3 linked regions of the Drosophila melanogaster genome follow. The gene in region 1 interacts genetically with each later gene. Each region holds a gene or a part of one and is shown in the gene's direction. Other genes may lie near its edges.

Evidence for each region. A genetic interaction does not mean that the proteins touch.
Region 2: of mei-P22 (region 1) and mei-41, changing one suppresses a phenotype caused by changing the other (phenotypic suppression), as found in Drosophila melanogaster (one study listed by BioGRID).
Region 3: of mei-P22 (region 1) and okr, changing one suppresses a phenotype caused by changing the other (phenotypic suppression), as found in Drosophila melanogaster (one study listed by BioGRID).

What each region holds. Positions count from the first base shown.
Region 1 is NT_037436.4:7,242,670-7,245,930, forward strand, and holds mei-P22 (meiotic P22), read left to right. Parts: upstream 1-1,718; coding exon 1,719-2,714; downstream 2,715-3,261. Other genes in the region: Neos (neosin), read left to right, coding at 1-384; mRpL50 (mitochondrial ribosomal protein L50), read right to left, coding at 536-965, 1,025-1,134, 1,191-1,220; Cdc27 (cell division cycle 27), read right to left, coding at 3,163-3,261. UniProt on the Drosophila melanogaster protein: Required for formation of the mei-W68-mediated double-strand breaks (DSBs) that initiate meiotic recombination.
Region 2 is NC_004354.4:16,389,956-16,394,754, forward strand, and holds the start of mei-41 (meiotic 41), read left to right. Parts: upstream 1-1,742; 5' UTR 1,743-1,805; coding exon 1,806-2,032; intron 2,033-2,091; coding exon 2,092-4,303; intron 4,304-4,360; coding exon 4,361-4,654; intron 4,655-4,728; coding exon 4,729-4,799. Other genes in the region: TH1, read right to left, coding at 1-437, 508-1,220, 1,337-1,399. UniProt on the Drosophila melanogaster protein: Serine/threonine protein kinase which activates checkpoint signaling upon genotoxic stresses such as ionizing radiation (IR), ultraviolet light (UV), or DNA replication stalling, thereby acting as a DNA damage sensor.
Region 3 is NT_033779.5:2,989,037-2,994,459, reverse strand, and holds okr (okra), read left to right. Parts: upstream 1-1,700; 5' UTR 1,701-1,750; coding exon 1,751-1,753; intron 1,754-1,810; coding exon 1,811-3,125; intron 3,126-3,181; coding exon 3,182-3,335; intron 3,336-3,393; coding exon 3,394-3,799; intron 3,800-3,860; coding exon 3,861-4,024; intron 4,025-4,080; coding exon 4,081-4,393; 3' UTR 4,394-4,866; downstream 4,867-5,423. Other genes in the region: CG3558 (uncharacterized protein), read right to left, coding at 52-725; Bem46, read right to left, coding at 4,949-5,063, 5,123-5,301, 5,379-5,423.

The sequences.
Region 1 (3,261 bases):
GGACAGCGACGACATCCCCAGGAAATGCAGGGGCTGCTGGAAAGGCTGGCAGACAATCATCCATTGACCGCGTCGCAGTACGAGGTGATTCTTAAGTACCTCGAAGGCGAACGCGAGGAGCAACTGAAGCGAGAGGTGGGCGAGGCCAATGCTCTGGCCAAGCTAAAAGCTCCCGATCCAGAGATCGAGCTGCAGAAGAAGATTCTTAGCATCATGAACAAGCCGGCAGTAACCGATGTCACCAGCGAGCTCATGTATCCCACTTTCGAGGCAGTCAAGGAGGACAGAAGGCTAATGGAGCTACTTGCTGACGATCGAGTGTTGGCGGCCCTGGAAAGTGTTTACAACTCGGATCTCAGACAGATTTTAGCCGAGTATTTATAGACTACCAATACTTAGTAGTATTCATTAATTTTAGCCATTAAGCATATTTAACATTTAATAAATGTAATACCTAATATATATGACGTAAATCTCGGGCTTCCAGAATGCATTTAATAAGTGTAAGACATTAACAACTAACAATTGGCTGTTTCTAAGGCCAGGATCGCTTGGCTTCGTGTCCCTCGTACTTTCCACGGTACTTGAGACCGGTGACTAGGGTGGAGCTCTTGGGGAAAGCCGTTTTGCCGTCGAATTTGGTATCTGTCTCGGGATGGAATCGCACGTACTCGTACTGGATGTGCAAATTCTCCGGCAGCTCGATGCGCTTCAGTGCATCAAACGGCACGGTGGTGTCCACAGCTGTTTGGTAGAAAGCGATAACATCGCTGACGGTGCGCAGTTCATGTACCTGGGAGTTGGGCACTCCGTGCTGCAGCTCCTGGAAGCACGCGTTCAGGAATTCGAATTTCTCGGAGAGATTCCCCAACTGGTCGGATTTCAGTTGAAGCGAGGCGGCTACGGTTCGAATACGTTCGGCGGCATCTGCAGGTGGGGAGTACGGCTTATGGGGACGCAAGAAGCTACAATCAGGAGAATATTTACTTGGTTTTTATGTAAATAAATTAAAGAAAGTGCTTACCCCTTGGCGGCGATGGACTCGCCGACAGCTGAAATGGTGCTGGTTTTGACGGGCTTTGCTTTTGCGGCCTTGGCGGCGGAGGCAAAACTCCTATGCAGGCTTCCCGCAAGCTAAATTCATGGTGGCATTGGATTTTAAGTGAACATTTTTATTATTTTTTACTTACAATTAGGGTTTTACGTAAAATCGCTGCCATTGGATGTGACCAGATTGAAAACAATGCGGCATGGCAGTCAATACTGAAAATATATTCACTATACTTACAGGTAAGGAGATGGTAACACAAAAATACTGCATTGAGCGTTGCCAGGTGGACTCACTGTTTACCCACTGTTAAATTTATAAACAAACTTAAAAAAAATGAAAACATTATGAGTATTGAGTTATTTTTAGTCGAAGATCTATCTCATAATAGTCTTTCTTGAAACAAATTTTAGTTTAAGCAACAATAAGTGATAGGATTTTATTTTAAAAATATATTACCTCATCAATTTCAATTTAAATCTAAATTCGACATAACTTTACGAACGATAACTTTATTAAATTGCGTGGCAGCTCTAAGCTTTTGTCGATAATAAGGTCCTGTTATTCAATTGATAAGTCCTGCTATCGCGCCAACTGTTATTTTTTTATAATTTTGCATTGAATAATAGTTTTAAACTACATTGGTGTTCTTTATGTAGTATAAAACAGTATGGACAGGACAACAGTTGTCCCGAGTCCGGCCTCCACCTACTGCTCCTTTATGGGTGGCTCCCAGCACTCCCCATTGCGGCGATCACAGCGCCTCATCGACAAGGAAAACCGGGATCTGCAGAAGATTCCGCCCAAAAGTCTTTCTCCTCAGTTATTTGGAAACACTGAAGATGATTACAGTGAACTATTGTTGCAGCAAGGGAAAGTGGTTCACCTGAAGCCTGCAGCTAAGTTGGTGCCCGTGAGATCCTCGGATAATCTAGTCCATCTTGGATCCCGGGATAAAGTTGTCCCCTTGAAAACTTCCAATAGAATCGTTCACCTGAAGCCTCCATATAAGATTATCCACCTCAAAAGTTTAGATGAAGTTGAAAAGACCGTAAAGAAGAAGAATAATATTCAGAAAGAAGTTCATCAAAGGAATTCACAAAGGAGAAGCATTCAATGCACTCCCAAAAAACGTGGTCGAAAACCAAAGCAACCGGCTAAGAAACTGCAGTCAAGAATTTCCACCGATCAGCTAGGAAGCACACCATCGCCATCCAAGCTGCCTGCCAAATATCCCGCCCATTTTGTTCATCAACTTCCGCCCGCTGAGGATTCCAGCTGTGCCACTCGAAGACGATCCTTATCTGCTCCAGCTATGCAACTTAGCGATCTAAGCCTCACACCCGATGAGATCCAAACTCCGGAGCGGCGCGGTGAAATCGTAAACAAATCGCCATCGGATCTCGACTCCGATGTCTCCTTGAACTTCTCGCTGTCCGATTCCATTGGCGAGATCTTCGGCACCAAGGACATCAGCAGCATTCTGACCATGCAGCGGCCGCGTCAGTACATTTTGCTGGAGGAGCATCTGCCCACACTGGCCACCATGTTGAACGTTGACTTGGAGCGACTGCGCTGCGTGCTGGATATCACTCAGGGCTTGAGCCACGAGCAAATCCTGCGCTTTCCGATAAAACATGAAGAGGATGAATTGGAAGTACCTTAGATATGATGGGGAACTTATAGCAGTAGTATAATGTTTTCACTTTGAATAGTTTTAATGTCCAAGTCCAACATATTTAATTCCCATAAGATCCTTGTTGCTTTAACTTAACATTTAAAATGTATATCTCCCTTTTTTTTTGTATATTTTTAAGTGGTATTTAATTGTTGTTGTTTTTTGTTGTTGTTGTTTCTTTTTCGTTATTTTGCCTTAGACTTTCAGAGTGCACAATTTTTGTTTAAACCATTTACTTTTTTGTATATTTTAAATTACTAATGCTAAACGTTATCTAGACTTTATCATACTTCATAATTGGTTTCCTTTCCTCCACGACAATACAGCAGCAATCGATCGGGGTTTTTTTTTGTATCTGTTACTAAGTTTTCTTTTTTGTTTACTGTGTTTCTCATTTAACGTATATACAACCGCGTGAATTTGGAGTTGCAGCTCCCTAGTAGTCGCTGTCGTAGCTTCCGTCCTGCTGCGCCTGCGTCGAGTCATCGGAACGCTCCGAAGTGGGCTCCAGATCAACGTCCAGGGCCGTAGTGTT
Region 2 (4,799 bases), on another chromosome or scaffold:
TATACAGCGTTTGCAACTCGGCGATTAGCTCGGTGGATCCCTGGTCCACATTACAAATGGTGTGTGCCTTTTCGATAGCCTGAATGGTGCTCTTTAGCTCCTCCTTGTTTAGCATGCGCTCAGTCATTGGTCGCTTTTTGGCCGGCTGGTCGATGACCGCGGACGCGTAGGCTAGCAGAAACATATACTTCGGTTTGTGCTCGGGATTGATTTTAACGCCGGAACGAAAGAGCGCGTCTACCAGTAGCTCCAGAAACTGGGGGTTTCGTATCAAGTCGATGGGCGGTGGATCGGAACCGGAGTAGTTGCGAAACAGCACGGTGATATCGGCGGGATTCAGTGTATTGCGGGTGAGCATGGAAGTTAGGGCTTGACATGCTTGCGGATAGACTGCCGAACCATTCAGGGCCATTGTAATAGGCGTTACATTTTGATTGCTAAACAATGAAGCAAAAGAAAGGATTTATGTTATGACTAACTATGTGGAATCGTCAGTTATTTTCATACTTCTGCAGGGCGTATTTAATAATTTCCTGAGAGAGCCGCTTCATGTTGAACCCACCCTTCTGCTCCTGGCTGAGGACCTGGATGAGCACCTGGGAGTATACGTAAGTGTGCTGGCCATGGCAGACCATTCGTGCGCACTCCTGAATGGCACCGTGCACATCATCCGGATTGTTTAGAAATTTGACGATCGAGGTCTTTAGAACCCGCGAGAAAACCTCAATCTGCTGTGCCGCTGTCGAAATGGAAGTGATCTCGCTCTGGAAGCCCGCGTCCGAGATCAACTTGATTGTAAAGTTCAGCATTAGACAATCGGGATATTCTTCGGCCAGTCGGTAGATTAGCGAGCGCCACGTATAGTGGTCGATCATCTCGGTTAGCCAGTCGGGCGTCTCACCCTCCTCCGTGAATATGGTGTCCGCCTTCTTGGGATCGAAGGACTTAAGAATCATTTCCTTGAGATGATTCTCCACCATGGCCTGGACTTCGGTAACCTTGACGCCCGCCAGGATGAGCCATTCCGCAAGCAGGTTGGCCATCTGGGCCACCGCCTTGTAGTTCTCGGATAGCATCGATATAACCTCCTCCGGAGATCCGCCCGACTGAAAGTAGCGCTTCAGCTGCGTAAATATCCCCGGCTCCATGATGTAGTCCGGTGTGAGGAACTTCTCCAGGCATTCCTGTATCGTCTTCTGCGGATTGTCCTCAAGCGTTTCCTTCGATTGGGATGGGATAACATGATGTTTAGTTGTTATTTTTTATGGTTTATCTAGTAGCGTCATCAAATTGCCGGGATTGCCTGCCACGCCGTACACGCTCTATACTCAATTACCTCCGGATTGGTTTGTCCTTTGGCGCGGCCCTGCCAACCAGAGTCGTCGTATTCCACTTCCATTTTTTCTCAAAAACTTATTTACAATAACATAAAAATATTTTTCTTATTTTGATTAACTATGCATTTTTAGTGTGACTGTAAATTGTTAACCACGACGCGCACACCTACGCGGGTTATGCGCCGTTTACACTTAGCAAACTCTTCTGTTAATTTCATATTATGCAATGTAAATCTTAAATTTGAGGAGAAAAAGAAAATTGTCAATAAGTGTAAAACGCGGTAATGTAAACATATATTAACTAATTTTTTTTTAAATTAATATATGTAAAATCGCAGTTGGAACGTGGCTGTTATTCAAGAAAAAGAAGAAGAAGCTGCCAAACATATCGATAGCCACAAGTGCGGCGAATGCCGGCTTTCGTAAACAAAGGTCGCGTTTTTGCGAGTTTTAAATAAACTTGGCAAAATGTCGACACAACGGAAGGATATGTGGAAGTTGCTTTACAACCACGTAAACCGGAACGTAAGCAACTTTTCCGGCGTGTACAGCGTTATAGAAGACATATTGTGCCAGGAGCCGAGTCTGATAAGCTGTTCGTTGGTGCGGGAGCTGCACAACAAATTCCAGGACACATTCCTACTCTGGCTGCTCAACAAGCTGGCCAAGTGCCTTAGTGAATCTCCAGATAGCAGGTAAGATGAGCCACAAGCATTGGACTCCAAACTTATGACACACCGTTTTTCTGCTGCAGCGAGTGCATCAATCTTCAAAGGAAAATACTGAGCTCCTGCTGTTCCAATCATCCTAAGCTTTTTGAACGCCTTGTACTGGCCTATGTGGAAGCCATTGAGGAGACGCACCTTCAGCTAAGTTCCCTGGACCTCGGCCAATTGAGTAATGAGCGAAAACCCGCCATAACTGTAAGAATATTCCGATGCGATGTGGAATGCCTGCAGGAGTTCGATCCGCACTGCGCTATCGAGGACATCAAGGTGCCCCTTGAGCAAGCCGACATGTATGCCAAGAGCCTGCTGGAGGTCCTCCAGCATGCCCATCACATTGGATACGCCACGCACGGCGACATCTTCTCGGGCAGCCTTCATCAGGCTCTGCTAATCCTCAAGGAGTGCGACATGGACACAAAACTGGCCAGCTTGAATTACTGTCACAATGTCCTACGATCACAGTCGGCCAGCAGCTGGATAACAAATCCGGACGTTGGACATTATGCGCAATTAACGTTGGAGGCGACGGCAATCATGTGGTCGGCAGTAGCCAAGTGGCTGGACATGGGATGTATGACGCGCCAGGAGCTAAAACGGCTCAATATAACAACAAAGCTACTGCTAGAAGTTCTGCATATGCGTGCACGTCCAGCCCACCATCTTGGCTACCTGCTTTTGAACGAGATCCTTAGTTTGCCGACAGCCATTGAATTGGACGATGGACTGCTGGAGACCCTAAGTTCCTATATTCAAGGCCAGCTAGAGCATTCGGTTGTACCATTGGAGCAACTGGTGCACTTGCAGCAGCTTATGTTAAGCCATTGGCACTGCCACCCCACACATTTGGTGCCCATATTGGCGCTAATGGGCTTGAAACAGACTGAGATGCGCTCAGGAGTGGTCCAAGTGCTTACCCAAAGTCTCGTTGAAATCTTGAAGAAGGAAGAAGTATTGTCGAAGGATTGGCAGAAACTGATTGCTATTTTACGAGGCTTCAAGCAGCTGGAGAAACTAATTCTGTCACAGAGTCAGCATAAAATAGCTGAGCACGAAGGTCACATCGATTCCTCAGTTCTGGCCATGTTACCGCTGCAGTGTGAAATCATAAAGGTTGCGGATACCAATTGGAATAACCTTTCAATGCAGCTGGTTGAGCTGGAATCAAAGTGTTCCGCAGACCGAAGACACATACACTTGGAAATCTGCTCCCTTTTGATGCAAATCACCTTCATCCGGCACTTTTTAAAGACTCAAACGCAACACCAGCTGCTGGCCATTCTTCAGCGACATTTGAAGCTGTCCTACCTTTGCGCCATTCGCTTGGAGACACCTTCTAGTGTTCATACCCAAATGCAAAGCTTCTATGCCCAGCAGTACATGAGGCTATTTCAATCCGAGGAGACACAGGAGATATTCTGTAGCAACCTTCCGCAGTTGTACATATCGGGTTTCATAAAGCCGGAGCAACTGATGAAAGCTCTGCCCACCATTAACAATCGTAGTGGCCGCGCTCAAGTTATACGCCTATTGCTCTGCTCCCAGCCAGGTAAATTGAGTGTCTTTAAAGTCAAAGATCGCATTGAGCTATACTGCCCGAAATGCAGGCCACTGCCAAAGAAACTGCCAGGTATTTACCTCGGAAAATGCAAGCAACAGCTGCCATGTCCAGACTTTTCAAGCACCAACCTCGAAATGATAGCAAATGATTTATTGTTTTATCCCGATTTTGAATGTATTGCCCAGCATCTGGACCTTCTGTGCTTTGAACCCAATGTGATTCTTGGCCTGCTAAGAGAAACGGAGGCACTGCAAAAGGTTAGCGTTAAGGTTATCGGCCAGCTGGTCTCTGCGATGCGTGTGCGTTCGCCAGAATTCTTGGAGCAATTAGCCAATCTTGTTCTAGCTGCTATAAAAGCAATGCTAGCAAAGCCACTGACAGAGCAAAATGTGCTGCAGCAAAGAAGTATGCTCAACGTACTGACCGCCATTGCGCACATGGAGGATAATGAAATCTGGCTCTTTCACTGGTTCAAAATGACATTCTTCTTTCTGGTGCACACTCGCTCACTGGTGGCGCAAGAAGCTGTGCTGGCGGCCACCGAGATGTGTGCCAGCCAGGGTCTGCAGACGATTCATCTGTGGAACTGGTACAAGCGAGATGCTCTCGACCTCACCGTTCGCCTGGCTTTGAACGTTTATCTTTTGGATGGCGTACGCTTCACCCGATCCCTCCGAGCGGTGCGTAAATAGACGAACTTTTCTTCACTTCCCAAAATTTGACCGGTCTGTTTGCAGCTTACGAAAATGTTGGGATTCACGTGCGTTCAGGAGTTCACCTGCAAGTATCATCGCCTTCTGACTGCCATGGTCCTGCCGCATTGCATCGTGAATCCGCTTTGCAAGGGAGTTTTGGTATTGATAGCCAAACAAATGCAGAAACACATTGGCACCTTGTTCTCCATCTCGTTCCTGCGGATCTACACACACGTCTTCCTGACCGAGGAACCGGAGTTGGCCAATAGTTGCATCGAGCTGGTGGTCAGTTGCACCCAGTCCAGCCTGCAACAGCTAATGAATGCGGATGTCAAGGTGGGCAGAAGTTAATTTATATTTTATTATTTTATCTTTTATTTTATTTTATTTGATTTGGTTATCACTTGTAGCAAACGGTGGCCGAGTTGCTTATATATTTCAACCGAAACCCCACATTCGTGATGCGATCCTTTCAAAGCCT
Region 3 (5,423 bases), on another chromosome or scaffold:
TATTCTTTTTTATGCTGAATGAATTGGAATGTTTAAAAGTTATGAGCTTACTTGGTAGTGGTTCCGCTTTTGGGTGGCGCCACGTTGCCATTTAATATCTGCTCCTGCACCTGCGTCTGGGCGGAGAAGAAAAAGAGGTCCAGCAGGTGGACATTCTGCATAAGAACCACGCACAGCTGGTTCAGCAGGATCACCAGGCGCTTCTCGAGATCGGGCGGAAAGATCTCGCCCTGGCTGGATGCCAGTATCTTGAGCAGGGGTCGCAGGAAGGGCTCGTGGCAGAGCAGCTGGTGGCGCGAGTGGCTGACGAGCAGTTCGTACAGCTTCAGCTGCTCCAGCCTCACAGCGTTGGCATACCGTCCCGTGGTGCAGGCCCACTCGTACAGCTTGTCCAGCAGATTCTCGCTGAGCAGGAATTCCAGGCAGGGCGCCGCAGGCGGACCACTAGCCTCGGCCGCCGGCAGCGAGACTTTGTTGCAGTGATGCAGCTCCACGAGCAGCAGGGTGACCATGTAGTCCAAGTGCGAGACCACGCCCAGCACGTCGTCGTGCGAGGGCGGTGCACTGTGCTGGATGATCTCGAAGGCCTGCTGCCAGTGCTTACAGAAGCTGTCGTAGCAAGCGCGCGGATCGCAGTCTGTGGCAGCGTCGATGGGTCGCTGTCGCAGTGGGCCGACGTGTCCGACGGAGGCAACGCCTCCACCGCTGCTCTGGCGCAGCCACATCGTTGTCGGTGCGGTGTGTGTGCGATTCGGTGGCTTTTAGTGGCGCTGGTCCGCTGATAACTGCTCCGTGTGCGTTTCGTTTGGCATGAATTGGTGGTGCTGGTGCTCTGTTATCTCTCGTTTTGTGCTTTTGTCCGACTGTGTGAGTGGTGAGTATTTCAATGTTGCTCGCTTTTTAAATATTTAGAAGCTAAAAGAAGACGCACTTTAGTTGAATATTCGCTATTTACTTTTCTCTAATGTTCCCAAGAACAACAAGTGACACACTTACGCACACAGCCACACACACACCTGTGTACGTGTGCCCACCTATTTGGGCACTCACTGTGGTTGTTGTTGCTGCTGCTGCTCGCTCACCTGATGAATTTAGATTTGATCATCGTCATCGTCTCCGCTGCTTTCCGCTCTCCGTGCATCGTGCATCTACACCCATTACTGTTTAGTGGCCCTTCTTAGATGGGTTTTCACGCTTGCAGCATTTGCAGCGTTTTTTTTTTTGGCACTTTGGCAATTACAATTACAAATACAATTAAGTGGTAGTACCAACACTTCCGCAGATTTGCGGACTAGATTTGCGTTCTTGCAGCACGAAATTCGCGCTTTTGGCGCGGGTTTTGAAGTCAAGAAAGGGAAGGCAGTCCGGCCCGCACTTTATTGCCTCATTTTGCACTATTTTCGTAGTGTTTCCAAAGCAATTCTGCGTAAATATTTACAATTATATCTGCACGGAAATAGAAAGTTAGCGATGAGCAGCTATCAATATAACATATCGATGTTTCGATTATACCTGAGATACATCGGGAATTTTTGACATCGGGGTGTAGCAATTCCATTTTAGTTTTATTTTTATCTAATTATCTATTCACTTTTAAAACAGCGTGCTATGATCACAAGTATTAGTTTGATTAAATGCGTTCTGTTTCATTATCCCAGCGTTCCACTTACCAGTATTTCTTATCGCCTGTGTGACCAGACTTCCGCGCTTCTATCAGCTGTTCGCGCTACCGCCATTTGAATTTAATGAAATGGTAAATACAAAAATTTGATTTATTTAATTCCATTTCCCTAATCATTTATTCCTAAAGCGGCGCAGTCTGGCTCCCAGCCAACGTGGACCACTGCGTCCCGAGTCCCGTCACTCCTTCACGCCGCCACTGCTGAAGAAAAACAAGCGATCCTGCCAGCAGGAACTGGAGCGAGAGCAAGAACTGGACAGAAGACGACTGGGCGCCCTCCGAGATGCCAGCAACACATCAGAGCTCCCACTGCCTATTCGCTTCACGGCGAACAGCGAGTATGAGTTGGCCATTGCCAAGGTTCTGGCACGGAAGTTCAAGGTGCCCATGGACAATTACGTACCGGATTACGGTGGTAAACGGGTCCTGGGCGTGCGGCGCTGCATTTCCCGACGACCCCTACACGATCCGATGGCCTGCAACGCCTTGGTACTCTTCCATCCACCCGCCTACACAGAACACGAGCGCATGGGCATGGATCCGACCAAGGTTCTGGTGCACGTCGTCGTCGATCCGCTGCTGAGCAACATATTGCGGCCGCACCAGCGCGAGGGAGTGCGTTTCATGTACGAGTGTGTGGAGGGAAAGCGGGGCAACTTCAATGGATGCATCATGGCCGACGAAATGGGTCTCGGGAAGACGCTGCAGTGCGTAACGCTGGTCTGGACACTTCTAAGGCAGGGGCCCGAGTGCAAGCCGACGATCAACAAAGCCATTGTCGTGTCTCCATCATCGCTGGTTAAGAACTGGGAGAAGGAGTTTACCAAGTGGCTTCACGGTCGACTCCTTTGCCTGCCCATGGAGGGCGGGACCAAGGAGAACACCATCCGAGCACTCGAGCAGTTCTCCATGACTTCTGCCCGGCTGGGGACACCTGTTCTGCTCATCAGCTACGAGACATTTCGCATCTACGCGGAGATCCTGTGCAAGTACGAGGTGGGAATGGTGATATGCGACGAGGGACATCGCCTCAAGAACAGCGACAATCTGACGTATCAGGCTCTCATGGGACTGAAGACAAAGCGACGGGTCTTGCTTTCCGGCACTCCCATCCAGAACGATCTTACTGAGTACTACAGCCTGGTGAACTTTGTAAACCCGGAGATGCTGGGAACGGCGGCCGTGTTTAAGCGCAACTTCGAGAGCGCTATTCTGCGGGGCCAGAATACTGACTCCACGGAACAGGAGCGACAACGGGCCATAGAGAAGACACAGGAGCTGATAGGTCTGGTCGATCAGTGCATCATTCGTCGCACTAATCAAATTCTAACCAAATATCTGCCGGTTAAGTTTGAAATGGTTATCTGTGCGAAACTGACGGCGATTCAACTCGAGCTATACACGAATTTCTTGAAGTCTGATCAAGTTCGACGTAGTTTGGCGGGTAAGTCATTAGGCAATACTACCACAACATTCCTACCATTTACAATTCCCTTCAAGATTGCAATGAAAAGGCTTCGCTTACGGCGCTGGCAGACATTACAACGCTTAAGAAGATTTGCAGTCATCCGGATCTCATATATGAGAAGCTCACTGCGCGGGAAAAGGGATTCGAAAACTCCCAAAATGTGCTGCCTAGTAATTACAAACCAAAGTACGTCGCCTGTTGCGCGCGAATAGCAATGGCTATTAATGAATCTTTTGTGTTCCAGGGATCTCAATCCAGAGCTAAGTGGCAAGTTCATGCTCCTGGATTTCATGCTGGCAGCAATACGTGCAGAGGGCAACGACAAGGTGGTTCTCATTTCCAATTACACACAGACCCTGGACTTGTTCGAGCAGCTCGCGAGGAAGCGAAAGTACGGATTTGTCCGGCTTGATGGCACCATGTCCATCAAGAAGCGATCGAAGGTTGTTGACCGATTCAATGACCCGGAGTCTGACAGCTTCCTTTTCATGCTGAGCAGCAAGGCTGGCGGCTGCGGCTTGAATTTGATTGGAGCCAACCGCCTGTTCATGTTTGACCCAGACTGGAATCCGGCCAACGATGAGCAGGCAATGGCCAGAGTGTGGCGTGACGGGCAAAAGAAGCCCTGTTACATATATCGCCTCGTTGCCGTGAGTACCTGAATTGGTTCTGCACGGAACTTTCTTTTTCAACTCAAGAAATCTCTTTCAGAGTGGTTCCATCGAGGAGAAGATCCTGCAGCGACAGACGCACAAAAAATCCCTGTCGAGCACCATCATTGACAACAACGAGTCGGCCGAGAAGCATTTCACCCGCGACGATCTGAAGGACTTGTTTACATTTGATGCGAACATTCTGTCCGACACACACGACAAGTAAGAACTGGCTTTGGATACCCTTTAGATCATGATCGTGTAACATATCTTTTCAGGCTCAAGTGTAAGCGCTGCGTTCAAAATATACAAATGAAGCCACCGCCCGAGGACACGGACTGCACCTCGCATTTGTCACAATGGTACCATTGCTCCAACAACAGAGGCCTGCCTGACAATATTCTCGCCCAGGCCTGGATGGATTGCAAGTGCGTGTCCTTTGTCTTCCACCACCGATCGCAGGCTCAGGAAATTGTGCCGAGTGCTGAGGAGGAAGCAACAGATCAGCCAGAGGAAAAACCAGAAAGCCGCAAACGATCATCCACGCCCGCCAGTGATGACAGTGCCGATGAGGACTTCCGTGGATTCTAGCAATTGTTTGCAGTTTATTGTTTCTCGAATTTCCTTTTTCTTCGCACTTAAGTCTAAACTTAAGATAACTTTTTCTGGCTTCCTTTGCAATCCTAACAAGTTATTAATTTAACATTTCAAAAATGGAACCAGCACAAAATGTTAACGTGCTAGGGGTGAAGGCTTCTATAAACTAATCTGGCAATGTAGGAGTCAGTCCAGAAAATAGTTTACTTTTTTGTGAAATACTGATCAATTTCTATACTCTTAACTGGCCGCCAATCGGGCAAAGTAGTAGGTTAACATAGCTTAGGACAAATACAAGCAAACATCGAAATTCGGATTCTAGTGTGTATTCACTTGCTTAAGCGCAAAGTTATTTAAGTTGGTTACTTAAAATCAACAGCCATCTCCGCTAGCACGTTATTCTCTGCACATAAAAAGCAATTTGGCGTATAGCAACGTCCGGATTAAAACCCTGTCAGATACAGATTAATATTATGCGTGTGTATATGTATAAGTATTAAACCATTCGCAGTGTTAACACAGTCAATTGAACACTTGATGTATTCGGGTCTATACATCAATAATTTTATGCTCCAGCTCCACCCAGACGTTGCTCTTCTCCGGCGCCTTGAGGAGCGGCTGTTGCTGCAGCTCGGCCAAAAACCCACCGATGGCCTGATAGTACCTAAAAAGCAAGCACACCCATGGATAAATGGGAAAGTGAAGATTAATTGCCGGCCATACCCGTCCACTATCCAAGTGTCGTTGTGCGATCCGCCGGGGAATTCGAGCAGGCGCTTTATCTCGCTGCCGCATTTGGTATACAAGGCACGCATCATGCGCGGTGGCACTAAGTTGTCCGCAAGGCCCGAAATAAACAAAAAGGGAACCGAACACTTGCCTATCTTGCTCATGGAGTGATACTGCATGTGAAACAACAAACAATAATGTGGTAATGAGATAAAGTAAACAGAGGGCTCAACCGGCGACGACTACCCACCTTATTCTTAAATAATAGATTTGGTATATACTTCACAGCGGGATG